4 linked regions of the Lytechinus pictus genome follow. The protein of the gene in region 1 purifies or fractionates together with the protein of each later gene. This does not show direct contact. Links are inferred from orthologs where the notes say so. Each region holds a gene or a part of one and is shown on either strand. Other genes may lie near its edges.

What was found.
Region 2: the proteins of exosome complex exonuclease RRP44-like (region 1) and exosome complex exonuclease RRP42-like purify together in Drosophila melanogaster (affinity purification with western blotting; 3 studies listed by BioGRID, with this or other methods). This does not show direct contact. The link is inferred for Lytechinus pictus from reciprocal best matches to the Drosophila melanogaster genes Dis3 and Rrp42.
Region 3: the proteins of exosome complex exonuclease RRP44-like (region 1) and exosome complex component CSL4-like purify together in Drosophila melanogaster (affinity purification with western blotting; 3 studies listed by BioGRID, with this or other methods). This does not show direct contact. The link is inferred for Lytechinus pictus from reciprocal best matches to the Drosophila melanogaster genes Dis3 and Csl4.
Region 4: the proteins of exosome complex exonuclease RRP44-like (region 1) and exosome complex component 10-like purify together in Drosophila melanogaster (affinity purification with western blotting; 3 studies listed by BioGRID, with this or other methods). This does not show direct contact. The link is inferred for Lytechinus pictus from reciprocal best matches to the Drosophila melanogaster genes Dis3 and Rrp6.

Annotation. Positions count from the first base shown.
Region 1 is NC_087249.1:53,877,141-53,885,041, forward strand, and holds the start of exosome complex exonuclease RRP44-like, read right to left. Parts: upstream 3,001-7,901; 5' UTR 2,864-3,000; coding exon 2,639-2,863; intron 1,518-2,638; coding exon 1,455-1,517; intron 1,048-1,454; coding exon 953-1,047; intron 130-952; coding exon 1-129.
Region 2 is NC_087246.1:61,517,015-61,524,614, forward strand, and holds the start of exosome complex exonuclease RRP42-like, read left to right. Parts: upstream 1-4,597; 5' UTR 4,598-4,650; coding exon 4,651-4,746; intron 4,747-6,206; coding exon 6,207-6,320; intron 6,321-7,403; coding exon 7,404-7,583; intron 7,584-7,600.
Region 3 is NC_087256.1:31,514,513-31,522,169, reverse strand, and holds the start of exosome complex component CSL4-like, read right to left. Parts: upstream 3,020-7,657; 5' UTR 2,992-3,019; coding exon 2,907-2,991; intron 1-2,906.
Region 4 is NC_087258.1:25,019,471-25,027,243, forward strand, and holds the start of exosome complex component 10-like, read right to left. Parts: upstream 3,001-7,773; 5' UTR 2,788-3,000; coding exon of another isoform or gene 2,658-2,787; 5' UTR 2,185-2,657; coding exon 2,110-2,184; intron 1-2,109. Other genes in the region: sigma non-opioid intracellular receptor 1-like, read left to right, coding at 2,658-2,787, 4,953-5,153, 6,104-6,196, 7,076-7,287. UniProt on the Drosophila melanogaster protein: Catalytic component of the RNA exosome complex which has 3'->5' exoribonuclease activity and participates in a multitude of cellular RNA processing and degradation events.

The sequences.
Region 1 (7,901 bases):
TTGGTGAGTAGGACAATCTTGATCTTAGTGTCTTTGAAGTGATTATCATACCAAGTAAGGCTCTTCCGTATTGCTCTATCGTTGAAGTCATTAGGAGATTCCTTTGGTTCGATCTCAATATATGTCTCTCTGAGGAAAAGAAAATAATGATAAAGGATGAGTTGTGATCTCCAAACTGGCGCTCCAGGGAGCATTTCATGAAACTAATACATGAAGCCAGCAATTTCCACTGAAAATGTTATAAGCTACTGAAATCCTTGCATCTGATTGGCTCTGCATAGTCTGTCAGTGAAATCATTCAAAAGAAGCTCCATGAAACACTATACTGGACTGGTCATGTTTAATAAAGCTTGTTATCGATGGCAACTTGCCACTACAATAAGCTAAAGCAATCTCGCCAAGTTAATTAAATGGCTAAGAAGATATTCATTACTAATTTATGGTATTTCATTTTGGTAACAAGTTTCATGATAGCTAGTCCCTAATGCCCACTAAGTAAAAACATGGGCAGCCAGGCCTGTGGGCAACAGAAAATTTTATAATACCAGTGTTGTAATACTTCTGCCTGATCATAACCTGGCAAAAACAACTTGACCTGATTTATTTCAAAGCCATGTTATGCCACTGCCTTGACCTTCTTTAATAATAAAAATACATGTGCTACATGTATACACTTATCAAGCACACTATCGTGCAGAGGAGGTACATGGCATAAGCCTATCGATAAACCTTTCTCTTTAATAAGAGTAAGGAAAATGTTTACTTAGGATACCAAAATGATGATAAATATAATACTTGTATCCAGCATTATAGTCACATGGAAAAATTCTGTATTACGGTATGGGCATTTATCTCTCTGACTTTGAAAATATTTTAAAAACATAATGTTAATTGTAAGATCCACAACATTGACCATAAATGATGATAAATCAAAGTGAAGTCATATCCTCACCTGTGGTGTTCATTTGTGAATACATAGAACTTTTTTTTGTCATTTGCAATGAGATCTCGTATCCTTTTGTACGATGGCAAACTTCTGTGTTTGACCTGAAAATAGAAAGTGACATTTTATTTAGTATTAAGACTGGCGCATTTTATCACAATTAATGTGATTAAAAAGCAGTCTTGAATTGAACAGAAAACTCATTTATCTCCCAGTGACAAGATGAACTACCAATACAACAGTGTAAGACAAAACCTAATAAAATAGGCATCTAAAAATCAATGCGATTTCAGAAAGCACTTTCAGATATTTAGCTATAAAAAGCTTCTTACAAATGAGAACTTATTTTTTTACACTTATGTAAGATTTAGTGGCATCACTACCCTAAATTCTCATCTTTGCAGTCCCTTTATCACAATATACCATCTTGAAAACACCTTCACCACAAGTCTTCTTTTTATATAATTAATACACACATAATTTAATCAATAAATTTGTATTTAGCCCATACCTCATTCTGAACTGTCTGCAGGAGAATGACATTTTTAATTGCTTTGTCCTCCAGTATATCCACCTGTGAAAGATAGAAAAAATACCCTTGAGAAATGTGCATGTATAGATACAAATGTGATGTGGGAGTTGTACTTCTGGGCCCTGTCTTACAAAGAGTTATGATTGATCCAATCAACCACAACTATGGAAAGCCAGCAACGTCAACATCTAAAATACATGTTTGTTCAAAATTCCAGATATGATGCATATTCATACATTCACTGTTTTCTTGACAATTCAATATGCTTCTCATTCTATTCAAAGGACATTGTGCAAATTTCCTAAAGAAAAAATTATGACATTGATGAATCATACTCTTTGTATCACCCACCCACCCTTCTTCGATCGCCGTCAGCACAGCTACAGCTGAGCATATGAATGAGCTGTAGCTGACGGCGATCAAAGAAGAACCTGGCTGATCCAAATATGTTTGTCATCAAAATTTGCTATTTTCCAGCATATTTTTCAGAAAGGTGGTAAGCTGATTGTATTTTATATCAATTCATCTTAATTATTTCTTCCTTTTCCCCCATCATAAAGCAAAATTTATGAGTAATAGAGCCTAGAGGGTGCAAAAGTGTACCCTGGCCTTAGTTTCTCCAGACGCTGTACTGTAAGTGTAATTAAGCGGAGGTTGTTTGCTCCACCATTACGAACCTAGCTAATCATGCAAATGGCCGTCATCCGTCTTTGTAGTGTAGGACCAAAAAATCTGAAAATATTGAAAAACTACTCCAAAACAGCAGATTTATCAGTCTTCGTCAGACCATACGGCATTATCCACCACTCCATTCACTGCCGTTTATTTTGTCATGTTCATCAGTGGCGGCGACTTTTTTCATCTCCCATTGACTTTACTAAACAACGAGCGCACACACACACTGATACACACGAGAAGAAAGGTGACTTATTTCAGGATAAGGACGACCACATTTTAAATTTGATTGCAACTTTTGCGAGCAAGCCAAGAATAAATCATGTGACCACTCCACTGTCCACTCACCAGTGTTTTTTTTTTTTTTTTACTTTTCTTTTGCTAGGCCCTAGTATTAAATCTTTGATGTTCCAACCATGCCAACTAATTGAGCAGCCATTAATTGCCCACAATCATGAAATCCTATTCTTTTCAAGAGGACAGCTCACCTGATGCAAAACTACATTTGTATCAAGAAGGAGATAATGAGGATAGCGGCACAACGTGTTTGCCACTTCGGGCACGGGCTCCTTCTCCAAGACCGGCTTATCCATTGAGCATTTGGAACAAACAGCGGATCCACACCAAATATCGTCCCTCAGATAGTGCTCCCTCACAACCTTCATCACTCCTCCTTTCCGAGTCTTCTTCACAAAACTCCTGGAAGTCAGCATGGTTGACTTACTGACCTTATTCAAAGATCACAAAAACCTAAAACGTTGAAGAAAAACTTAATTTCATGAATGATCTTCTCCGTCGGCACAAGACATTTGCACGCGAGACCATTATGTTTACCATTTGATATGGTGTCTTCGATCACGATCAAAATGAAAAATTGGGGCAACCGTAGCGTAGGGGAAGGCGGGGTAAGTTGAGCATAGGGGCAAGTTGAGCCACCACCTCCCAGAAGCGGATCTAAAGGGGGGGTTGCAACCCCCCCCCCCCCAAAAAAAAAAAAAAAAAAAAAATCCGGGGACCATTTTTTTAAATCTTATCTTTTTTTTTTAACTTGTAATTCCATTTTCACACACAGATTTTCAAAAATTTTCCCTACTGTGGGAGGGGGGACACCCCCTCCCACACCCTCCCCCCTCGCTCGCTCCGCTCGCTTGGACTCGGTCGCTACGCTCCCTCGCATACCACCCCAACCCCCCCCTTTATAAAAAGCTGGATCCGCCCCTGACCTCCAGGCCAATAATAGATGAGTCAGACATTGTGGTGGTGTCATGTATTGATAACCATTACATAACTCTTAACCCCACCACATTGTTTTCAACTTTGAAACAAAAAGTACTTTTTTAGAGGGAAAAATACAAATTTCAGCCAAAAAAGTAAAAAATGGTGTGAAATAGATCACTGCTTTTTACCCACACACGTCTTTAAGTACAACTGTATAATAAAGAAATAAGAACAAGATTGTTAGTCCAGGTATGGATTCTCATTCTTGTCATAGTCTTTTACATGATGGATGCATAAGAAATGTGTGGATGTGAAAATATCGCATTAAGTTCCGACTGGGGTAATTTCAGCCAGCCAAAATGGGGCAAGTTGAGCAATGGTAATTCGTATGGTAATGTATAATCAAATGATTAAACAAAAACCTTAAAAAGCCATTGATATGCAGGCAGAAAGGAGCAAATTCACATGACAGTTCTTTTACTTTTAGAGGATGTTAGTATTTATAGATATAGCAAGTGAAAAGACTTTAAATAATAAATTGACGTGCGGGTTCGCATACAATTTGTACATAGTTTTTGTGGCTCAACTTACCCCAGAAGGTGGCACAACTTACCCCACAGATGGGAAAAGTTGAGCCATTTGACATCGTTTTTTTCAAAGGTCAGAGTGTCTTTTAGTGTGGGGGTAGAGAGTTATATATAGGTGAAAAATATTTCCAAATAATCAAATTAAAAGGCATGCAAGGTACTTATTTCTACAATATCATTAGTCATATCAGATCTAACATGCAAAATGCAAAAAGTGTCACAACTTACCCCGCCTTCCCCTACGTACCGATCAAAGCTGCGAATCGTCTGGAAATCGAGCATTAAAATGAGCAAATGTGCCGGGGGCAGGCGTGGATTAAGCCGGGGAGGGGGCACAGGGGGCACGTGCCCCCTCCCTTTGAGAAGCAAAAATTAAAATTTGTAATGTAAAAATGCCATTAAAACATAGGTGTGCCCCTATATTCCTTAAAGGACAAGTCCACTCCAACAAAAATTGATTTGAATAAAAAGAGAAAAATCCAACAAGTAAAACACTGAAAATTTCATCAAAATTGGATTTAAAATAAGAAAGTTATGACATTTTAAGTTTCGCTTAATTTCACAAAATATTTATATACACATCCTGTTTGGTATGCAAATGAGGAGACTGATGACGTCATCCACTCACTATTTCTTTTGTATTGTATTATATGAAATATGAAACATTCTAATTTTCTCCTCATTGTCCAGTGAAACAACACTCTAAAAACAAATCAGTCAAAAATGACTGGTTAATTGGGTCAGCTGGGTGCAACTGTTATTCTAGTCATATTTGACTATTTTCTAGTCATATTTTACTAGAATAGAGTTATTTCTGACTAGAATATATGTCAGAAATGTGACTATCAGTGATTGCCATATCAGTTGCTCCCAGCTGACTACTGGTCTAGTCAATTTGACTGATCGGTTTTAAGAGTGAATGATTAATTCCTCCATGAACATGTGGAATTAGCATTGTTTAATACTATATTATTCAGTCAGGTCGGTCCCTATGGTCAAATCTGTAAAAAATGAAATATTGTATAATTCAAACAATAAAAAACAAAAGAAATAGTGAGTGATGGACATCATCGACTGACTCATTCGCATGTCACTGAGTTGTGCATATCACTGTTTTGTGAAAAATAAGCGAAACTTTAAAATGCCATAACTTTCTTATTTTACATCTGATTTTGATGAAATTTTCAGTGTTATGCTAGTTTGATTTTCTCTATTTATTCAAATCAACATTTTGCTGGGGTGGACTTGACCTTTGATTGAATATCTTTTTTTTTTGCTTCTCAATTTTTTTTCTGGTACGAAATACCCTTAATTTGTTGCTGAAAACCTTTTTTTGGGGCTCGTCAAATTTTTTCGGGTACAAAATATCCTTTAATCCTTTATTTTAATCCGAAAAAAATTGCCCCCCCCCCCATTGGAAAATTCTGGATCCGCCCCTTAGGGATAGGGGAAGCAAGGGGGAAGGGGCAGGCTGCCCCCCCCCCCCCGGTGGATTTCACCGGGAAAGCGAAAAAACGGGAAAATAGAAAAGGGAGGAGAAAGAAAGGGCACATAGTAAAGGGAAAGGAATTAAAGGGAGAAAAGAGGAAAGAGGAAAAGGCAAAGGGTAAAAGTGAAAAGAAAACTAAGAAGAAAGAAAAATGGGAAACGGAAGGAAAGCGGGAAAAGGAACGAAAGAAGAAGATGTGAGAAAGAATAAACCATTCTGAAATAGCATGATACATGATTGAGAAAGGGATATGAATTAAAACATAGGCGGATCTAGGGGGGCCCGAGGGGCCCGGGCTCCCCCCCCCCCCCTATTGGCGGAGCAAAAAAAAGAAAAAAATGAAAAAAAGAAAAAAAGAAAGAAAAAAGAAGAAAAAAGGAAAAGAGCGGAGAAAAAAGAAGAAGAGGAAGACGGGTGAATTAAAAAATATTGAAATGAGGGGAAAACTTGGAAAAATAAAAAGAATCTTTCATGTCACTATACAAAATTTTCGCTGGCGCATCGCGCTCGCATTGCCTGTTAGGTGATTTACATAACTAACTTGTTCAATATTGAGCTTAAATACCAAGTTTGGAAGTCAATATACAAAACATATTTCACCTCGGAAATCGAACTTTCATTATTTTGTGTGATTTACAAATTGATTTTTATAAAGTGCTATGTAAAAATGTCAGTTATTTGAATATTAAAATTTTCTGCTCGCGCTGTGCGCTCGCAAATTTTGATTTATCAGGTACTTATTATTTTCGTGAATTCCATTAAGTTTTTCAAAATATCCCTTTTCAGGTCTGATTGTCAAAACGTATCAGCTAGCGCTGCATGCTTGCATTTTGATTGGCGATTTATGTTTGTGTCAATATTGATTACACAACAAACTACTTAAAATCTCCTTTTCATGACAGTTTATCAAAAATTTTGGCTCGCGATTTGCACTCGCATTAATTCCGCACCCACATTATGCATTTATAAATAAGATATCAATTTAATAATTAAATTGTCCCTTTTGTTTCATCTCGCGCTTAGCAAGAGGAATAGAAAAATAGTCATCATTTTCAAATGATGACATGTCCTAAGGATTTCCCAGTCCTTTGTCAAAACTAAAAAAAATAATAATGATGAAAAGTATCAGCCCTTTATTAAGTGCGATCCATATCCACCTCACAATTTTTCTACAAAGTGCTTGCCTATAGAGCTGAAAATGACCCTTTTTTAAGATCGGAATATCAAATATTTTATGCTCGCGCTTCGCGCTCGCTTTGATTTTCATGATAAAAGATGTATTTAGAATGCCTAGATTCTTGGATTAAATCTGAAACACGCGCGTGCATCTGCTCGCGCTTTGTGCTCGCATTATTAATGTAGGAAGATCCCCTATTAGTCACCCTTTTCATGATTTACAAAACATGAACAGAGTGTACCATTTTTAGGTCTAAATCTCGAATTTTTCCGCTCGCATCAATAATTGTTTAGTTATATGACAGTTTATCAAAAATTTTGGCTCGCGATTTGCACTCGCATTAATTCCGCACCCACATTATGCATTTATAAATAAGATATCAATTTAATAATTAAATAGAACTGTTGATTTCCATGCCCAAAATCCAACAGCCATTTGGCTATGCCCGCTTTGTGATATGATGAACTTTGCTAGCTCATTTTTTTACTCTTCACTTGACTCTAATAAATCTACAGAATCTATATTGAACTTAAGTGGGTCTAACTCCTTTGAAAGTCTTACGTCCCTTAATGAGGGCACCGAGGACGTTGAACTACGTTATGACCACTGGAATAAAGTAAATCATCAAGCCCAATTCGTACCAGTTCAGGACTAGGCCCCCTAAATGATTCTAAAGTCGGAGTTGGACGCCGTGAGAAAGACCTAAGAGTAACTCCACTGAAACTTACAAGAACCAGCAACAGTTGGACGATTGTTGGAAAAAATGGAAAAAGTAACATTCCAACTGATAGAACTTCACCAACAAATAGACTTTCTTGCCTAAATGTCAACCGTCAACTGGAAACAAATAGATCTAGGAGTATATGTAGGACTATCCATAAAGCTCATCGGAATATGAAGAGCGATAAAAATGCAACAAAAATTGCCATCATTAACTGTCGCAGTGTAAGGGGAAAAACTGCAATGCTTACCTCGCTTATTGAAACTGTAAATCCTGATATAATCATTGGTACTGAATCCTGGCTAGATCAAACTGTTAAATCTGCCGAAATCTTCCCAGCTCATTTCCAAATTTTTAGAAAGGATAGGAATTCGCATGGTGGAGGTGTCTTCATTTGCGTTAACAGCTCCATCCCTTGCTTTCAAAGAACTGATTTAGATACTGAATCCGAGCAAATATGGTGTCAGGCTACCCTACAAGGTCAGACTCTGCATATAGGAAGCTTTTACCGACCACCTGATGCTAAAACTTCCCCTCTTCTAGACTTAGACTCGGCCAT
Region 2 (7,600 bases), on another chromosome or scaffold:
TTTTATTTCAAGTTTTGTCTATTTTGTCTTGATATATGAGACTAGTTCAGTCCCATACGCTGATTTTTCTGTTTGTAATTTTCTCTAGCTCACACTCTGGCATAGACAGCTGGCAGCCGTCTGTTTCGAGGAGTTTTTTAACATTTTTTTATTTTTTAAGTTTCTCCTCATACACAGACGGCTCGCTATTGTGCAGCCACCATTAGGGGACTTACAATGCAAAATCCCCCTGTCGGGGCTCTTCAATTTTTGTCTTTAAAAAATAAAAGTTTAATGAATCAAACTTTTGTTATGAACACTCCTAGTACCAATGAGGTCCAACATTACATGTATGGACCTCATAGGCGACATCAGTAGTATTTTGTGTCAGAAATCTTTGTGAAGATGATTATTTTTGTATTTTATCAAAACTACAAGCTATCGTACTGTCTAATCATTACATTTCGATCTCACTAATTGAATACATTGTTAGCAATAAAAAAAATTGAAAGAAATGAAGGGGAACTTACATTTTCACGGCTTTTTCCTGATTTTCTGGGCAACTGCTCCTCTCTTCTGACTCGCGATCGAAGCTGATATGAAGATCACGTGATTCGCGTTCTCGTCAGCTGATCGGTTGGTTATTCTTTTCGTCAGACGTTAATAATATATATTTTATAATGCTAGCATTCATCGCTAATTTAGGTGAAAGAGATTGAAGTTAAACAGCGCCAGGTCGGAATCATAATTATTTTGGAAGAGTGTATTTATACACTCGATCTCATACCTGACGTAGACGGCGCTATTCAACAAATGCACAATCTTCAATATAAAAATAAAACAGAAAGAACGCCTTGAACACAGGCCAAAATGCCGAACGATTTCTCCGCGGCATTAACAACTATCGTAAAGGGCGCTCCATTTATCAATAAAGATGGACGCTAAGCTGTCTATGGCGACAAAATTTGCCGCAAATATTTACGAAGAATTGTGAGAAATGGTCTGAAAATGCAACAAAAGAACCGGTGAGTACCGATTAAACATTATTAAATTTATAAATAGATTATACATACCTTGTAGATTTAGTTTTTAAGGTGATATTAGTGCTTAGTTCTAAGCTAGAGAGGCCCAAACGCGCGTGAGTGGAGTCCCAGTTTATTAGCACGGGTAAGTATTGGGGTGTCGCCTAGAGTGGTTATGAAAATTAACCCGACCGAAATGCAAATTAATATTCCCTCTTGGCATTAATTGCCAAAAAACGGGGAAAATCAAGTTAAAAGGAACAAAAACAGTGACTTACCTCGGCTGTCGCGCAACTTCACTGCCCTGTTTTATCCGAACTTAATACACATAAACATATGGCCATTGACGATTGAGTCCCCTGTACACACCACTCCTAGTACCAATGAGGTCCAAACATTAACATGTATGGACCTCATAGGCGACAATGCGTTAAAAACAGGTTAGAACTTCTAAACGTACTGTTTCCTGCACCCAAGTATGATATTACTCCCAAAATATGAGTTTTGTCCTCGTTTGTTTATCATTTATTAAAAGATTGCCCATTAAATATATTCCTATTCCTAATTTGAATTTAATAAAATAAAGGGAAACTTACATTTGAGTCATTTTTCGATCTTTTTTTGGCAGTCAGTCCGGTCACCGTCGAGTGCGATCAAAGCGGTATGAAGCTGATTTTCAGATCACGTGATACGTGTGGTCATCACCTGATCAATCGACTATCCTTTTTTAAAGACCGCAACAATTATAAATTTTATTATAAAATATATATAGAATGAATAATTGCATGATATTATATATATTTCTACAATTAAAAATATTTTGTGATATGAATTTAATATTTGACGTAAAAATCGCTATTTAACAAAATATTTATTAAAAATAAAAAATCAAACAAAATAAAAACGCCTTGGACACAGTGCAAAAAACCTAACAATTTGGCCGCGTTCTTAACAACTATCGTAAGGGGCGCTCTATTTATGAATAAAGTTGCATATGTAGTTGTCTATCGCGACAGGAACAGCCGCAGAATTGAAGCCAGAAGCGTGGGAAATTGCCAGAAAATTCAAGAAAAGAACCGGTGAGTACCGATTTAACAGTACTAATTTATTAAGTAACATTTATTGAATCATTACAAGATTTATTTTTTAGTAAAACAAAGCTTAGTTCTAAGCTAGGGCGGCCCAAATGCGCGTGAGTGGAGTCCCAGTTTATTAGCACGGGTAAGTATTGGGGTGTCGCCTAGAGTGGTACACACCTGGGGCCGATTGCACGAAAGGGTCTTTCCAAGGACCGTCTTTCGTGTCGCCCATCTTTTATGATGCGCTATAAGCGGGGTGTTTCTGAAATTTATGATAAACAAATAAAATTCGTAAGCTAGCTTTTAAATCAAATTTTATACAATTTCATGAGATATCAGTTTTTATCACATCATTTTATAAAAAAATATTTTTGTTTATTCTAACGGACAAATAAAATATATTTGCAGATAATTTATTTGAAATGCGTTTCACATGGCGTATCATAAAAGATGGGCGACACGAAAGACGGTCCTTGCAAAGACCCTTTCGTGCAATCGGCCCTTGTTCACTGCAACCATCCTGCCTGTGGGGAATCTACAGGTAGGACTATGGTATGCCAATGCTGTACATAGCACATACTTTAAAAAATCATTAAAATATCACTTTTGTTACCAAAATTACTAATTTCCATACAGTTGCAATTTATTTTTAATTAGTAACTTGGGAATAATTTTTGTGTTCACCAGAGCGCTCAAAAACTTGAATTTTTGGCATATTTTTGTGTGCGCCCTCTATAGGTGGAAAGTAATATGGCAAGAAATTTTTCATTTTTCAATCTCTATTTTTAATTAAGAAAAAATAATTTAAAGAATCAAATTTACATAAGAGCCAAGTTATATGAGGAATAGATGTATCGGAAACTGACAGTGTAAAAAAATCAAGCATTTGTCCCACAGAAAAAGAGAAAATAAGCCAAAATTGCCACCCTTATTTTGCCACACATGGAGATGTAACTGAGAACAAGGTTATATCATAACCTTGTTCATTGAATGAGTGCCTGTACAGATCGCGCTAGAAGTTCGGTCTCTGTATTTGGTGAGTGAAGCCAACGGCAACGGAGTTCAGCTGAACAACCAACATAACTAATGTTGTAAATCGGATCAAAAATCAGATCGAAAATTGGATCGGCAGTTAAGCTTCTAAAATCGAAATCGAATCGGCGATGTTTAAAAACAAAGGAATACATCAAAATTTTGTTCGCGGTCGCGCGCATCTTCCTGACAAAGTCACAAAGACGAATGTTTAGGAATGGAAGTCGTCGACATGCGCGATCGTTTGGAACATGCTTTTAAAGGAAAGGGTTTTGAGGTTTAACTGCTTTACAATAAAATGAGTGATTTTTATTAGAAAGATAAACGAATGACGCATCTTCCGAGCAAAGTCGCAAAGGAAAATAATTGTCGTAGATCACATGTCAATGAACGATCGGCGGGACATCTTTTATAAGTATTTTTATGTGAAGCTGAGCTCAGCTAAGTTCGCTCATTATGATGTGTGATTACAGCCACGCCCAATAACCATTCCAAAGTACACCCATTTTGTTATAATAGCTTACTTGGTACATCATTTCTCCGAATCAGTTCTGGGAAAAGTTAAGTCACGCCTCAGTATCAATCTTTTTGTATACCGGTACTCACCCACTCAACAATATCAGTGAATTACGCAATGCGCGCAAGCATTCACACAATACAAGATAGTTTTGAGGCATAGCCGAGAACTGGAACCGCCCAGACTCAACGGGCTAGTGCAAAATTCTTTACACTACCTTTTGGCATGTGCACGTGGTGGGTTTGATTGACACTGCTAACAGTGCTATTCTTTGAGTTGGCTCACTGGCTGGATTAATGACAATATATCACTGCAAGTATGGCTTACATGATACATAAAACACGCAACACATCCATACACACTGCTCTCAAACTCCCTTGCTATTATTCGTCCCTATAGGCCATGTGTGCACTTATGTGCGGGATTTAAGCATGGCATTGACTAGCATATACAACACATCCACGCACCCCAGCATTCATATACCATAGAGCTGTTAATAGCTCCATGCATATACATTTCTCAAACTCGCTTGCTATTCGTCCATTGTGTGAACTCATGGGCGGGATTATGACAAAAATTAGCGCAAGCACTAGGTACGTAATACATACAATACATTCCTGCACCCACGCGGTCACACAGATCTCAAACTCCCTTGTCATTCGTCCATTGTATTCACTCATGGGCGGGATTTATCAGCGTAAGCACTAGCATACATAATGCGCACAACACAAGCAGTCACACACAGCTCTCAAACTCCATTGCTATTGTCCATTGCATTCACTCATGGGCGGGATTTATCAGCGTAAGCACTAGCATACATAATGCATGTAATATTCATGCAGTCACACACAGCTCTCAAACTCCCTTGCTATTGGTCCATTGTATTCACTTATGGGCGGGATTTATCAGCATAAGCACTAGCATACATAATGCGTACAACACATTCATGCACCCATGCAGTCACATACAGCTCTCAAACTCCATTGCTATTGGCCATTGTGTGCACTCATGGGCGGGATAAATGACAAACACAGTACAAGTACATGTTCATTGTTTGTATTATACAATACATTCATTCCAAGTTCCACTCCCACCATACCAGTCAGCGCAGCTACCGGTAGGTCATCATAAGTAGGTCAACCTTTTATGAGTCATTTCTGACATTCCAGGAATCTCGATTGTTCGAAACTATTCGATAAAAAAGCTCTAAATAGCTAGCACCTCCGCAAGAACAATCTTATATATTATACATATGAATATGTTCTGACCGCACTGTAACTAGATCTACAGGTATGCCGATTTTTTATATCCGATTTTTTCCTTCAAGGGGCATGATCGAAGATCGGCAAGTGATCGCCGATTGTTGTGAAATCGAATGGAATCGGTTGCCGATTGCAAAATCGGTTACAAGCTTAAACATAACAGAGACCGAAGCTTTTGGTCTAACTCTGGCACAGCTAGCCTGGAGGCGTCTGGGGAGTAAAAGTCATCTACTCTACGTAGGCTTACTCCCCACTGATGCCTGGGTCGCCAAGGTATATTCACGCAATCGCGCAATTTGCATGCTGTCGCCAAGCGGAAGACAAAGAAATCAAGATGGCGACGTAAACACGGCCGTAAGCTCTTCCCATCTTTTCATAACATTTTTCTCGTTTTTTTAATGAATTCTTCTTTAAAAACGAAATCAATATTGCAGAAATGTTGGAAATGAAGTTGAACCCCATGTACATGTTTTAGGGCTAGATCTTTTAGAGGGAAAGTATAAATCTCGGGGGCGAAAGTTTCAGGTTTTGTGGCCGTACGTGCGTGAATATACCTTTGCGACCCAGGCGTCAGTGGGGAGTAAGCCTACGTAGAGTAGATGACTTTTACTCCCCAGACGCCTCCAGGCTAGGCACAGCTGCACAGTCTGCAATTCAATCACCTTGTTTGAACTGTGTTGACAGGAATGAGTCTGTAGTAGACTAATAAATCCGCTGTTTCGGAGGAGTTTTTCAACATTTTCTGATTTTTTTTGTCCTACACAGACGGACGACGGCTTGCCTGGATTCTGGAGCAATTTACCGCAAATAACCGTTGGTGTTGCTTAACTACTACTACTACTAGTACAGGGACTATGGAGAAAGGGAGCGCTTTTGCACTCCTCGATTACTCCTAAATTTTGCTTTTTGATGGGGGAAAAAAGAAGAAATCATAAAGATAAATTTATATCAAATATAATCAGCCTACCACCTTTTTGAAGAATAAGCTGGAAAATAGCGAAATTTGATGACAAACAGATCAGGATCAGCCAGGTTCTTCTTCAATCGCCATCAGCTACAGCTGAGCGAACGGATTGGCTGGCACTTCGTACACTCAGCTGTAGCTGAGCTGACGGCGATCGAGCTGTCAAAGAACCTGATCCTGATCATATTGTCATCGAAATTCGCTATATTCCGGCATATTTTTCAGCCACATATATGAATTTAGAAATTTTAGGATCTCTTACCCTCTTGGATGACCAATGCTAAATATTCATTTCACTTTGATATCAGCAAAGTTAATTTTTAGGATTTATTTTACCTCTTTTACCTTTAGGATGACCTGCGGTCGGATGGGAGGACATGCCTGTCTTATCGAAACTTTGAATTGGAATGTGGAGTAGTGTCCAACACAAGTGGATCTGCAAGATTGAAGCTTTCAAACACACAGGTATGTTTAACTGGTAAATTGCCAAATGGGCTATTCCTGCTTTGTGTACTTTCATCCTAAACTGGGTTCCAAAAGAAACTGATCAAACTTTACAAAGGCACTGCACAGATTCCACTCGGTCAAAATGAACAATATTTTTACATAGGCTACATTCAATAATCTTTACCAAGCACATGACAATAATTAAGAGATTGGCTCAATCACAGAGAGGCTGTAGCCCTTCACGTCAATTGGACACAAAGTCACAAAATGACAAAAGAAAGACAAATGGAAATGAGATGGAATTAAAAAAACTTCCCAGCTTATTACACATTTCTTCGTGGGCATGTTTTAGTGATTGGCTGAATCACAAAGACGCTACAGGAAGTTTACATCAAAATTTTAAATGACTGGATCAATCACACAGAGATCCCCGCAGGCTGTCCCAGTAAGCGGGGGGGGGGGGGGGGGGTAATCTGAACATGGTAAGTATCTTTGTTTGGCTGTGTGAGATACACACAGCTATCATGGTGTTATATTGTTCAATTGAATGAAATTAAATGGAATGAAGTATAATCTTTGTGCTCAGAGAATTGACCAAAATCATGCATAGTAACTGATGGCTCAAAGATTCAGTTGTACTTGAAAAACGCTTGTCTGTTAATTGTTTTAAGTAGAATTTCTATCAAAACATATGTTCGAAATTCCTACTAAATTTTCCAGGTTATTAAAATTGGCAATTTGAATAGCATGATAGTGTGATGCTGCATCATTATAAATGTATCAGAATTTTCCACCCTTTGCTCTCTTGGTGTTTTTTCTTATGCTTTCACCCACCATAGATGGGTGCTGGGGGCATTGTGTTTTCAAATACTGACAAGGTCAAAGGTGGCAAAGGTCATTATTTGAAAATTTCAGAAGTAAGATGCATTTTGAATTCTTGATCTTGCAAATAAAGAAGCATATTTGAATGCATGCAGTCAAAAATCCACCTAGATCCTTTATCTTTGGCGTTATACTTATGTTCCTCCCTATCTTTTTTATTTTGAACACTTTTTTTCTAAATTTGTCACTTTTTTTCTTAATGTGTTTTTAATTGGAAAGGTTTTAGTTGGTGTTAAAGCTGAAATGGGACCACCTAATCAATTAAATCCTTCCCGCGGCACAATAGAATTCTTTGTAGACTTCTCAGCCAACGCATCACCCAAATTTGCCGGGCGGGGCGGAGATGAGCTGGCAGGAGAGATATCCAACATGCTCGGGCTTGTCTACAAAAATGAAAAGGTAGGACAACAGCATCT
Region 3 (7,657 bases), on another chromosome or scaffold:
AATTTACCCCCCCCCCCCCCCCCGCGGACAACTACACTGTAACCCTATATCCAAAATTCTACACCTAACCCTATTTCGGGGTAATTGTCCTGTGGTAGGTTTGTGCACAGGGTAAAAATGACTTGATATGGATTTCTTTTGCTTGAACATTAGAAATTAAATTTTCAATGAATATAATTCGAAATAAAAGAAAGAGAATTAACATAATAATCTCAGAATTTTTAGGAAAAAAAATAAAGAAAGAATGATTTCAATCTTTGTTCTTTCCCTCCTTTATTTTGTATTATACATTGTTGTCATTTGTGTTATTTTATCTTTGTTTGCAAGGGGTCATTTTTAATAAGCCATCATTTGTGCTTTTTATGATGCCCCACTATACTAATATGTATTAAACATTTTATTGATTTGTATATATTGTTGCTTTTTAAAGTGGAAATAAATTGAATTGAATTGTATATTATTTCATTATTGTTATTGTGGTCTCAATATTATTATTGTCTCATTATCATTGTTTCATTATTGTTGGCAAAATTATTATTATAATTATAATCATAATTATTATTATCATTATGATAATTATCATTGTCTCATTAATATCATTGTCTCAATTATTATTACAATTATTATTACTATCATAATTGTTATCATTACAATTATTTTTATAATATTGATTATTATTGATATCTCATTAATATTATTGTCTCAATAATTATTACAATTATAATACTATCATAACAATTATAATTGTTATCATTATAATTATTTTATAATAATTATCATTGTAATCATAATAATTATTATTATTACAATAATAATAAATTGTAATATTAATATTCATTAAATATAATAATATTTATTCAATATTTTAAATATTATTGTAATAATAATTATTATTGTCTCAATAATTATTACAATTATAATTATCATTATAATCATAATTGTTATCATAATCATCTTCTAATATTATTATTAATATTGTAATAATAATATTGTCTCAATAATTATTAGGCCTATAATTATAATTATTTTTATAATAATTATTATTATTGATGTCTCATTAATATTATTGTCTCAATACTTATTACAATTAGAATTATTATAATTATAATTGTTAATTTGTTATAATTATCAAAATAATAATCATTATGGTCTCAATAATTTCATCATTATTGTCTCATTAAGACATTATTATTAATGTCTCATCATTATTGTCTTATCTCATTTCATAATATCTTCAAAATAGTAATTAACACCATAACAAGGTCCATAATCAGATATTAAATTCATGAAACATATCTCATACATGTAGACCTATTTCTAAATCAAATTCATGAAAGGAGCTTTTTGTGCCATTCAAAAATACGACTTCGATTAACAATACCATATTCTAGACATTCAGACACATTCTAACAAAAAAATCAATAATCAAACAAAATTCTTGAAGTTTACTTGCAGTTTTGTTCTTAATACTTATTTCGCACAAATTCTACAAAATTATTTTCAAAATAACAATTTAAAGTTCAAAATGAACAGAGCTCAAATCGTAATTAAAAAATATACAACGGCTGAAACATACTGTGTCTGAATACCCAGACTAAACTCGAGCCCATCGCAGCGGGGATGACGTCACTCACAGCTGTTTGTATACGCTCAAAACAACCCTGCTCGATCGGCCGAGTCAGATTCACAAACACCTTACAACACTCACCGCTGGCTCTCTACGGACCAAATTTGATTAAAATTTAACAAAATGTTCTCAAATATATAATTTCATTACTGACCGAGTTTACATGAGATCTCATGATTACAAGAAGGCGATTTCAAGCAAAGAAAAATAAATACCTTAATATTAGGTCCTTCCCTCGCAAGAAGGTAAGTACCTAGGGATACCTAGGGAAGTTTCTGAATGTAGGCATGTTATGCCTCTGTATTCAGACAGTTCTAGGTTTTTCCTCCTCAAGATGGCTGGCTCACTTCCGGGAACAGGGCTTTCGTAGTCATATTTTATTGGCTCATTTTTCCAGCATCTATCCAGGGCAGCTTCAAAACTGTGCACACTTGGGGCATTGACAACTTCATTATTTAGGCTATTCCATGTCTTACGTATTCTAACATAAAAAGAATTCCTATATTTCCGGGTCTTTGTCCTTGGTATGAACAGTTTTTCACTGTGACCTCTGGTATGTTCACTATATTTTTCTTCTAAATTAAGTTTTCTACATAGATCATAATTATTAAAGTGTTTATGTTTCAATCATGTCACCCCTAACTCTTCGATACGCCAGAGTTGGGATTTTTAACTGTTTAAATCGTTGTGGATAGGAAAGCTTCCTTAATTCTGGGACTAATTTTGTTGCCCTTCTTTGTACGTTCTCTATTCTAATGCATGTATATGTTTCTTCAGTACGGGGTTCCACACAGCATGGGCATACTGAAACTCCTTGTTGTATATTTCCGATGTTTACCGAAGATGTACGAAGCAACCGCGGGAATTTTTGACCAATCAAAATCAGCGGAATAAAGGAAGAAACCGACTCTGTAGTCTGTTTTTTCGAGCAATTCCAAATGCAACTCAGCTCTAGGGAGTCTAGCACTCGGCCGAAGACGTGCCGAGCGGAGCAAACTGTGTGTGTTAGACATGCGCTCGCCATTCACTGCAATGCAAAAATCTACATCTAGCGCTCTGTCCGCACGATCGCTCACCCGAGTGAAGTGCCTATTAACAAATAACAGTAACAGGCCTAGGACATAAACCAACACGAAACTATATAGGTGGGGCAGGCACAATTTAGTTCCAACTCAAGTCAGACTTAGACTAGAGTCTAGACATAGTTTCACAAATACTTTCAAAAATATCAACAATATAGTAATCCCTCATATTCACACATTTCTATTTATCATCTTACCAGGAATACAGATTCGATGATGATCCCTAAACTTTTTAATTTCCTCATGGTCCACATCTCGTTGGTGTTCACTGTGGGCTGCCATCTTGAATCCTGTCTAAGTAACTGTTACTGTTAGATCAAGGATGGCGCTATAATTTTTCGCTCGGGTTTTAAATTTAATTGAATGATTCCTTTATTTTGTGCTGATATTTCACAGAAATAGTCCTTATAGGGTATAGCCACTTTTCCCTGTCTCAATACTTTATTTTATGTTTGGTTATTTGAGATCGAAGGACCGTGGGGGCATGGGGGGCATGGGGGGCATGATGCCCCCCTTCTGATTTCGGCCCCTCGGCCGTCGTCGCGGTTGACTTGACAGGCACATTGGGTGTGAAAAAAAATCTACAATAATTGTTTTTTAATTGCTATGGACAAAATATACAAATTTATTCGTGAATTATTTGACACTCATGCAATTTCACTTCAGGTTTTCATTTTTTCGGGGCCGGGGGAGATCCTAATCAATTCTCGGGTCAATGGTGAAAATGATATGCTTGTATACTTTAATATTTTTATTTATTTATTTATTCATATTTCACCAGGGTAGCTCATTCAACAACAGTTGATCTTCCATGAGACCCTGGATAACAAAAAAATCAACTATATACAATTAAAAACAAGTAATTGTGATAATACATATGCAATCATCAGTTCATATTGTTAATATACAGACGTATAAGTGACAGCATTATGTACAGTAATATTCTACTTTTTTATTAAAAGGCATCCAGCTTAAACGAGTAAACATTTAATTAGAGGGAGTGTATATATTACAGTTTAAAATAAGTCTTGCTGCCCTCTTTTGCAATTTAGTCAACTTTTCAATTTGACCTAAACATCTATTCCCTCACATTTCACAAGAGTAATCAATTTGTGTTTGAATGAGACATACATACAGTGCGTCCCAGAAAAAAACGAAACCGAGATTTAGCGATGATTTATCATAACTTAAGCATAAATAAAATAGACAAATGACCTACCAATGTAAAGCTTAGAATCTCCTCTTTCATCTGGTATTACTTAGATTATTCCTCATTCACGCATGATTAGGCAAAAACAATTCGAAGAAAGGATGCCAAAACTCATTTGGCGGGGGGTATCTGAATTTCAAAAAGAAAATCACATGACTAAAAATTTCAATATCTTCTCTTTTCTTTGATACCTAAATCACAGAAAATTGTCAGGTAGTAAAAAAGTTATGATCCCTCGAAACAATGCTTGTATTTCCATAATTTCATTAAATAAACGTGTTTTCACCGGTTTCCCACAGAAGCTATCGCACGGTAACAAAAGACTTAATGCATGGCTGATCGTTAACAAAACGGAGTGTCGAGTGAGTTTGAACGCTTGCCTGTAAAACCTCTTCATTTTATGAAATTATTGAAAGTCAAGCCTTATTTCAAATAACCAGAACTTTGTTATTTCTTGACCATTTTCTGTAATTGAGGTATCAAATTAAAGAACAGATATTGAACTTTTAAAAAATAAGGTTTTCTTTTGAAAAACCAGATACGGCCCGCCAAGTGACTTTTTGGTATCCCCTTTTCAAATTGTTTTTGCTCACTCATGCGTGAATGAGAAATAATCTAAGTAATTTCAGATGAAAGAAGAGATTCTAAGCTTTAAAATGGTAGGTCAGTCATTTGTCTATTGTATTTGCGATTAAGTTATGATAAATCATCGATAAATCTCGGTTTTGTTTTTTGTGGGACGCACTGTATAATAATTTCATTGAAGCTTCATCAACATAATTATGGCTTGACTCTTCTGAGCATGGCAAGTCCTACAAACACTTGTCTACATACATAGTCAACATGATTGCACCATAACAAATTATCATCAATAATAACACCAAGACATTTAAAACTATTACACATTTCAATTTCAATACTTTCATACTTCATAGAAATTGCACTTGTCTATCTTTTAATACCTTAAGTTTTATTTTTACTTCCAATGATCATATATTTGGTTTTATCATCATTTAAACATAGCTTATTTCACATGTTTAACTTGATCCACTTAGCGATAGCATCAACATTATTCTGAAGTTTTACTTGTATTTCATAAATAGACGTATAGCACTTACATATAGGATCATCAGCGTACATTTATAACTTTCCATGATTCAAAACTTTTAACACATCATCAATGTAAATCAAAAAAAGTAACGGACCTAATATAGATCCCTGTGGAACTCCAAGGGAAATACATCGATCATTTGATTTAGCATTTTTATCGCAACATATCGTTTTCTGTTATCTAAATACGAATCAAACCATGCTAAAGACAAATCACTTAAACCAATATTCTTTAATTTATTCAATAAAATCATTAACACTATCAAAAGCACGTCTTAAATCAATGAAAAGCGCTCCTGTAAGGCACCTCTGTCTATAGCATTTAACCAATCATCAGTTAAAAGAACCAAAAGCCAAAGCTGTAGAATGGCCCGGTCGAAAACCGAAATGTGCTATGCTAAGAATATTAATGGAAATCAAATAGTCACATAAGTTACTGCTAATGGACAATTTTTTTTCAAAGATCTTGCTTACAGTCGGTAAAATAGAAATTGGTCGAAAATTGCAAACATAATAAAAGTCACCTTTTTTAAATAATGGGAAAACCCTTAGCATACTTCCAGTCATCGGGAAAACACCGGATGCAAAAGACAAATTAATCAACCCCGGGTTACCTCGTTATAGAAGAAACGATAAAAGCTTTAGATTTTATCTTATTTTTCATTTTCCAAAATTTACAATGAACATTGTCACGTTCCCTTATCATTTTTCTAATGTCAGCAGAAATCAATGGGAGTGACTGATTTTTAACTTTTACCGACTTCTTAGGAGCGACTTTGTCCAAAACATGAATAAAAATTGTTTTCCATGTTCTCCAAAATTCATTAACATCACAAATATCCTTTAATTTATGCCATTGCGCTGAATCAAGAAGAGTATATAATTGATCTTCGACAGCATCTTTTTGGACGGTAAGTTATCGTTTTAGGAAAAAAATATTGGTTATAGAAGCTAGAATGTAATTTAGTAAATTTACGTATTAAATAAATCATATAATGATCACTAACAGATGTGAAAATGCAACCACGCTAGATTACTCTTAAAGAGCGAGTTGTAAAAGCGAGATAAATGATTGTAGAATAATTACTTGTGACACGTGTAAAGGTTTCAATTAACTGAACGAAATTGTACGAGCTCATCAAATATTCTAATTTATGATACAGGTACAAATCCTTCAATATTGACTGTAATCACAATTTAGATCTCCTAAAATGAGTACCTCGTCAATTGAAGTATTGTACGAGAAAATTGATTCCAAACTTTGTTCAAAACTGTCAAAAAAAAGAAACATCGCTTGACGGGGGTCTATATAATGACCAAAATACTTTTCTGAAAAGATAAAGTGATATGAAGACATGTCATTTCTAAATCTTGGTTTTCAAGGTCATACCTTCGTGTATAAAAAATATCTTAACAGATACATACACTACTACTCCTCCACCGTGGCGTGTTCTATCCTTGCGTTCAACCCTCAACCATCGAGATAAATCTCATCATCAGATATTGAATCATCACAAAAGGTTTTATTAACGCAGAGAACATCAATGGAATTGTTTGACAAAATATAACGAAGTGACTCGATTTTATTGACAATACCCCTGACATTAATACGCAAAAACACATTTTCTTTCGGTAATTAAGGAACTTTGCCATCCACAAGATTGATTGATTTTGAACATTTATCAATAAGGTAATCCCGGGAGACAGTAGGTCTATCTGAAGCGGTAAAAGACATAATCTTCAAATAATATTGGTAGCCTCATTATCGTCTATATCATGAACAGATTTAAGTTTGTTATTATCGATCATTTAACTCGTTGCGTACATTTAAAGTAACCCTGGAGGCACTCTCTTCTTGGCCACTATCTTAGTACATGTTCAGGGGCAGATCCAGCCTTCGCCAATAGGGTGGGGGGCGGATTTTTTTTCAGCCATATTTTCCCCGATCGGCCGCTCGAAGATGATTTTTGTTTGTTTCTTTACAGGGGTAGTCCTAATAGTCACTTCTTAACTTTATTCTCATAAATCAACATAAATATATAATATCATAATGCGTATTTATATAATGCAAGCGCGAAGTGCGATTTATTTTTTTTGTAAATTATATATATTTTGTCCTAAAATTTGAACATTATGGGCAATGTTTGCTATCCTGAAAAAAATGTATGCAACTAAATAATTACTACGAACGCGACGCGTTTGCAGAAATTTTTAATACACGTTTTGAACTGATCGAAGAGGTATTGCAGTTAGCAATGAAGACGTTACATATTTAAACAATCAAATAATGCGAACGCGAAGCGCGAGCTGATTTTTTTTTCGACATTTCTACCTAAAGAATGGAAATTCTATGCACTTTTTGTATACTCAAACAGGATAGGTATAAAACTAAATAATTGATGCGAGCGTGAAGCGTGAGCGGAAAATTTCGAGATTAAGACCTAAGCACGAGAATCTGTATTCATGTTTTGTAAATCATAAAAAAGATGAGTAATTGGGATCTTCCTTACAGTAATAATGCAAGCGCAAAACGTGAGCAGAAAATGTTTATATACAATTTGAACTGATCGTTAAGGACCTGTTAATGACTGCTTGCACTTAGCGATGAAGATGTTACATAATTATTTC
Region 4 (7,773 bases), on another chromosome or scaffold:
GTCATGTGACCTGAAATGCACACAGGATGTTCAGTGATACTTGATTACTCTTATGTCCAAGTTTTATGAACTAGACCAATATACTTTCAAAGTTATGATGGTAATTCAACAAATACCCCAATTTGGCCAAAGATCATTGACCCTAAATTACCTTTTACCTTAATCATGTGACCTGAAACTTGCACAGGATGTTCAGTGATACTTGATTACTATTAGTCATTTTTTGCCAATTTCCTCTGGGTCCAAAGGTGAAAATTTGTGTTTTCAACATATTTTGAACTCCGTTAATATGAAAACGAAAAGTAGTTCGGACCCAATTTTTCAGGTACTTGTTGGTTGTTAACATGTTAGGTGCCCCAAGGAAAAGCAACCTAGGTCCTAGCTATACTTCATCAAGTTTTAAAAGAGGTAGCTTTAAAAAAAAAAAAACACATTTTTGCCATTTTGGCCACTTTTTGGCAGAAAATATGCCTTTTTTCAAAATTTGAATTGGCCATATCTCGGCAACCCCCCGGCCCTCGTCCAATTTTGATGATCTTGGTGTCATTTTACTCGTGTTTCAGAGCTTATTCCAGTTAAACTATTTAAAACTAGAATTACAACACTTCAAATTTCAATTTTTGGGGTGGCATCCCTATTAATATAAGTAAACCAAATATCTCATAAAAATTAGACAGAAATACATGATCTTCTTGGAAAAAACATTAGGCAGTCATTTTCAGATTGAACAAAAAATTGGTACCCCATGTCTACGCACCCATTCACTTTGCACGCAATTTGGGGATTTTGATGAAAAAGGCTGCTTTTTGAGGCCATCACATGAAATGCCCAAAATTCATTATTTTTTCGTAATTTTGAGTCGAATTTTTTAATGAATATCTTTCCAAATACTGTGTAAAGTCTGTGGTCATCGCGTACTACATGTAGAATCGCGCAGATACGTAGGGACAGTGATTTTCCGCGATCGCGGAAAACGGACGGAATTCACGGATATTGCCTTTTGAAACGGAAAGTGGCATTTCAAACGGAAAATCACGGAAAACATATTTTTCCTCAGAATACACAGAATAGCAACAGTAATTACCCCAAAATCTCAACAAAATACGAATATTAAATGGCTACAAAACCTCACAAAACACGATCTCACTTCACTACAAAGTATGACAATCCACACATCGTGACTGCTCTCGACTCCATCACTCTCGATCGAACCCCCGGGCCTCTCCCGGGTCTTGGCCGGCGGCGGGGTCGGCCGTATCGAAAACATTCACATGCAAACAACACGGTCATGTGTTGCTGCCCTCTACGTTTGAAGATGTAACAGTACAATATTCCGGTCTTAAAATCCAAAATGGCGGATAGGCTAAAGTCGTTGACTGGTCGAAACGATGTCCAAAACCCCCCAAAATTATCTATAAAATTTAATTTAACAAATAATGCTAATAATGTGAAACTGAAAGGTAAGGATGTATTTATGTCAAATATGTTTGTCAAAATATTTTGTGTACCCCATACTAGATCCGATTAACTGTAGTGTTAGCATGGTTAGAGCGGATTCTACTGCGTTGTTGGTACATACAGTGGCAGATACAAATTTTGACCAGCGCGAGTGATATATTGCTCCTGAATGGTAAACGGAATAGCCAATTTTCCGTGTACACAAAGTCTATGGGGAAACGGAATTTCCGCTTTCTGACATGCTGAAAGTGAAACGGAATTTACGATTTTCTGAAACGGAAAAGGCAATTTTTTTAAACGGAAAATCACTGTCCCTAGATACGTGTGTGCGAAGACAAGGAGGACTGCGCAGACGAACTTGCCATACTTTTTAGCTTTCAAAGTACAAACAGAAACTCTAGACGCGGGCAGTGCGGCATGTCATTGTCAGGTGCCTGGCAGGCCAGCGCGCTAGCCGGCGGCGACGGCTACAGTACAGCGCAGCGCTAGCGGCCACAGCAGCATCATCCAGCCGCAACGCTGCGAGTGCGAGGCTTCATCTCATCCTAACCCAGAGAGCTCCCGCCCGCGCAGCGGGCGCCCGCTGCGCGGGCGGGAGCTCTCTGGGTTAATCTCATCCCAGCTCCACGCTGAATTAGTGTGTCAACAAACCTGAGCAAAATCGTTCACACTGGTGAATCCTGGCACATCCGTGACCATCATTTCGTCTCCAGCCTTTTCAGTCATTTTTAAACGGTTGAAAACTTTCGAATGTTAAATCTCTTGTTAGTTTGATTGGGAAATCGTGGCTCAAACTCGTCTCGATCTCATCTCAATCAGTCTCAGCTTGACTGACGCCATCTTCAAAACACCACGTGGGAGCATCGTTGGAGCTTTCTCTGACGTCTCTAGTTCTCTGTACTGTATGTACGGTACTGTACATAAACTTAAAGTCAAAGTCGTCGATTAAATTCTTCTTTCTTTTTTTTGGCAGTAAACAATTCATCTAGATCTATAGCTTTAAAAAGTTCGTGAGCTGTATTTTCTCCAAATATAGCAATGAGTAATCGGTATTTTGGAGAAAAATCTCCATCCTAAATGCTTACTACTTTACTAGGTCACCTGATACCAGTACACTGTCACGTGATTTCATGCATGTACGTGTACTATAATTGGGAGTACCGAGTAGTTGGTTGGAAGTTGAAGTCAGAACAGGCAAAATGTCATTGTCAAAGATATCAATTCTGGTTTTATTTGGTGCCTTGATCAATGAAACCCATCTCTGGTTGAAGACAAAATCGTATCTAACTGATGATCAGACAATTGCAAGAATAGCAGAGAAATTTGTTGGTAAGAACTAATCAGCAATTCTACTCCCAAATGCATGAAATGGGCAAGACAAAACCAAAACAAAACTTTAATTAAAGCCAAAACAAAAGCAAACTGAAAAATATTTAAAGCCTTAAAAAGGCAAAATGATTCCACTTATTTCCAGCAGTCCAGCTCTGGGCCTCGGGAGGCGCTGGGGGGGGGGTGTACAATGTCTGTGCTCTTGAACTGAATATTTGTACTACTACTAATTTACTCCTGACTAGTGACTGTCATCATAGACTAGTCTATGTCATGATGGAAAGACTGGAATTATATTCAGTAGACGTATACATGTACTCGAAGTACACAGGGGCCGCGGAACGGTTTTCAAAGTGGGGGGGCTGACCATGCAAAAAATCACAATCCTATGGTCATTTTTACGTTTTTGTACACGGTTTTGACTTTTGGAAAAAAGTGGGGGGGCTGAAGCCCCCCCGGTTCCGCGGCCCCTGGTACATGAACGAAACTCTGAATTTCGTAAATTGCGGATCAAGACAGTCAAGAGCCTCGAGCGCCTAATACTCGACAAGTCATGCAACCCTTTTGTGGGAAGACTAAATTTGCATATATAGTCTATTGCATGGGGATAGGTGTTTCCAAAATTGGGGGAAATTTCTATCTTTTTATTTTCAAAACATTTTTTGTCTCGCCTGCATAGCAGAGCGAGACTACGAGGCGCCGCTTTTCATGTCACGTCGTCAACATTGAAATGTTAACCCAGGTTAAGTTTTTGAAATGTCATTATTAACTTAAAAAGTATATGGACCTACATGTAGCTCATGAAACTTGGACATAAGGATAAGGGTAATCAAGTATTACTGAACATCCTGCCTGAATTTCAGGTCACATGACAAAGGTAATTTAGGGTCAATGAACTTGGACCATGTTGGGGGAATCAACATCAAAATCTTAACCTAATTATATAAGGTTAAGTTTTTGAAATTATGTCATAACTTAGAACATATATGGACCTAGTTCATGAAACTTAGACATAAGGTTAATCAAGTATTACTGAACGTCCTGCTTGAGTTTCACGTCACATGACCAAGGTCAAAGGTCATTTAGGGTCAATGAACTTTGGCCAAATTGGGGGTATCTGTTGAATTACCATCATAAATTTGAAAGTTTATGGATCTGATTCATTAAACTTGGACATAATAGTAACCAACTAGCACTGAACATCCTGTGCAAGTTTCGGGTCACATGATTAAGGTCAAAGGTCATTTAGGGTAAATGAACTTTGGCCAAATTGGGGGTATTTGTTGAATTACCATCATAACAAAGTTTATTGGTCTAGTTCATAACTTGGACATAAGAGTAATCAAGTATCACTGAACATCCCGTCTGAGTTTCAGGTCACATGACCAAGGTCATTTAAGGTCATTCAACTTTGGCCATGTTGGGGGTATTTGTTGAATTACCATCACAACTCTGTAAGTATATTGGTCTAGTTCATAAAACTTAATTGGACATTAGAGTCATCTATCACTGAACATCTCATGCGAGTTTCAGGTCACATGACAAAAGTCAAAAGGTCATTTAAGGCCATTGAACTTTGGCCATTTTTGAGGTAATTATTAGATTGCTGTCATAACTTTCAAAGTTCATAGATCTATATAGTGTATAAAATGTATATATGGGGTCAATATCATTTACAAGTTTTAGGTCACATGATCAAGGTCAAATATCAATGAACGTAGTATTGTATCATTATATGAGTGTTTTTTTTGTGAATAATTATTTTATAGTAGTTTTCAAAGTCAGCGCTGCTGCTATATTGAATCGTGTGATGCAGGTGAGACCGCCAGAGGCATTCTACTAGGGGGCAATTCCGTAAAATATGTACATCCGACCCCCTATATGTGGGACCTTCATGAAGTTTTCTGTCTCTCATTTCTTGTTCTTTTGACAGTCTGTAGGTTAATGTTCTCAAAGGGCCATGGCTTGGTCATTTTATGACGTGAAGTAAGACTTGAGAAAAATGGGGGTCAGACGTACAAAACGGTTGATCATTTTATGGAATAGCCCTAGGGTATATATTTGTTGCGGAATCTTCTCGTGGGGGGGGGGTATCCCAGGGGATTTGAATTGCTTCACTCTAACTCATCAAAAATGTACATAACAATTGTATTTCTTTCTGACAGGACTTCCACACCAAGATGCCTTTGACAAGGTGGGTGAGGTTCTTCGGGAGAGATACCCTGGTCACATCCTACCCAAAGAGAGGGAGGAATGGATCTTCATGAATGCCGGTGGCTGGATGGGGGCCATGTGTCTCGTGCATGCCTCGCTCACCGAGTATATTCTGTTCTTTGGCACTGCGGTGGATACTGGCGGTCATTCTGGTGAGGAATAGAAGATAGTCGTTTAAGCTGATCATTAGGCTTGTTTGATACTTGGGTAGGGTAGCTTGCTGATGTAGTAAGGTCGGGGCCTCGTGGTCGAGTGGTTATGACTCTCGTCTTTCATACTGAGGGACGTGGGTACTGTACGATCCCAGCCATGGCATGTTTTCCTTCTGCAAGAAATTTACCCACATTGTACTGCACTCAACCCAGGTGAGGTGAATGGGTACCCGGTAGGAAGAAATTCCTCAAATGCTCAGCTAGACCGCCTATATGGGCAGTTTAGCCAAAGCCGTGATAATAATAGCAGCGCTTGTATCCTAAGGCAAACGGGGCTTGACAAATCCAGCTATTATTATTATTAAGAGAAGCATTGGAAATACATTAGGAAGACAAGTGATTTTTTTTCATGACAGCCAAAGTAACCCCTAAAATTTGCAAACTGAAATGCTTTGGGGTGTAATACCATCTTTTCTTAAGTTGCCCCAATATATTTGCAAGAAAATATTATTCAAGAATATTTAGAAGATCAAGATTCTACGTACAGCAGAACAATGAGAAAGACTTTTACGGCATAAGTGCTAGTTGAGCTAAAAGGAAAAAAAAGTAGTCCTTAAAAATAGAAAGTCTTCAAATTCAGCAATCGTCCCAATTTGGCCCAAAAAACTGTAAAATGAAAATTGTTTCCTATCAGAGTAACATATTGTGCTTTTTTTATGGATAATAGGTTTTTTTTTTTTTTTTTTGAGGGGATCCAAAAACAGACAATTTGCAGAATTGGTTGCCAGGGGGAGGAGAATATTTTACTTGTTCTATAAAAGCATGAGTACATGTAAACTTGTGCGAGATCAAAGCAACCAAGAGTATTGCAAATGCATTTTTTTTTCATTTTAGGGTGAAAAGGAAAAGGTATTAATTTCTATATCACTCTATTTATTGTTTATTCACAGGTCGATATTGGGCAAATGTTTCTGACACGATCATAAGTGGGAATTTTCGGCAGTGGAAAGAAGGAACAACCGAGAGTGAAGAGTATGGACCGGGTAAGAACCATCATTCTTTGAATCTTAGTATTTCAATTTTTCTTATTAAATTTGTACATTTACTGCCTCCATCATTCTAACATCCTCACAGGACAGTGTTGATTATCCAAAGTGGTTGAAGGTTCAGGAAAATTTGTGTGTCCCAGGAAAAAAAGGAACTTGTTTTCAAAGATATTACAATTATCAATATGTTTTGATTACAAATTTGAAATCAAGATGAATATTTAGGGAATCCTATATGCAAGGTATACCACATTATAAACACTAAAAATTGAGCCATGTAAGAACGATTTGTGCGGAAACTCATTTGTAAACCGGTCTTCACTCTGATGCAGCGAATTCGTGAAAGAAGCATAACAAAGGACAGTGAGAAATGCTATTGACTATTCCTCCTTAAAACCCTTTTGTTGTTTACTTGACACATCTTGACTATTTTAGGTGCAACTTAATCCTAACATTAAATCATCAAACTCTTCTTGTCCATCTTTCATATCATGACATTATGAGGTAGGCCCCTATCCAAATAAAGAAGAAAAATTGCAAATTAGGAATGAAATATCATTTTATCATTAAAAAGCTAAGGTGGGAAGATAATGGTGAATCCTGTTTTCTTTTCTTTTTCTGAGAGGCACTGTACTCACAGCTTCAATGATTTCATTTACGTTGAATAGAGAGGGGTAGGGTATAATCAACTATAGTAATGATTAAAAAGGGTATTTTTCTTGGAACGTGTTTTCAACAAAAATATCCCAACAATTCATTATCATCTTGCAATAGAGAGCTAATGCATAGATATTGTGAAGAAGTACAGACCTTTCATTTGTCTGAGATCAACAAACCGACTCTCATTTATTTTTTTTCATTTTCGGTTGACGATAGGAGTCACACTACTCCATGCTTGGGGTGAGGCCACTTCCGTCCAGTGGACCGCGGGCACCTGGATGGTTGAATATGGGCGTGGTTTTATACCCTCCACCCTCCCGTTTGCCATTTCCGACACAATCTTCAGTACCCAAGACTTCTACACCCTCTACCGAATCGTCAGGATCTACGCAGAGGCACTGTTCCAGGAACTGCTATGTGTTCTTTGATGATGGTTTAAGATTGTTAGTGGATTAGTTAACAGAATGGGGAAGGGGGGTGGTTAGATTGACAGTTAATTTGGTTAAGTTTGTTTTTCCTATTGATATACTGATGGTTCATAAGTTCAAAGGTTTTTAATTTAAAACATGAAATAAGGTTTGATACTCTATAAAGGTTGGCCAAACCATTGGCAGATCCAGGGGGGCACATCTGGCCTGTGCCCCCCCCCTCCTTTTGAGATGCATAATCAAAATCTGTAATGTAAATTGGCCGTTCTAACACAAGTTTGCTCCCCCCCCCCCCCTTTTGAAAGTGAGGACCTTTTTTGTTTGATGGAGATTAAAGCAACTCTATCTGAAATAGGACCAGCATCGATTCTTTTTATTAGCATTTGATAGGTAGGCCTAAGGTACCATCTTACTAATCAAAATTGCTACCCTTCAATAGATTTTTAGAAATGTTTGAATGAGTTCTGATAACAATAATGATAATAA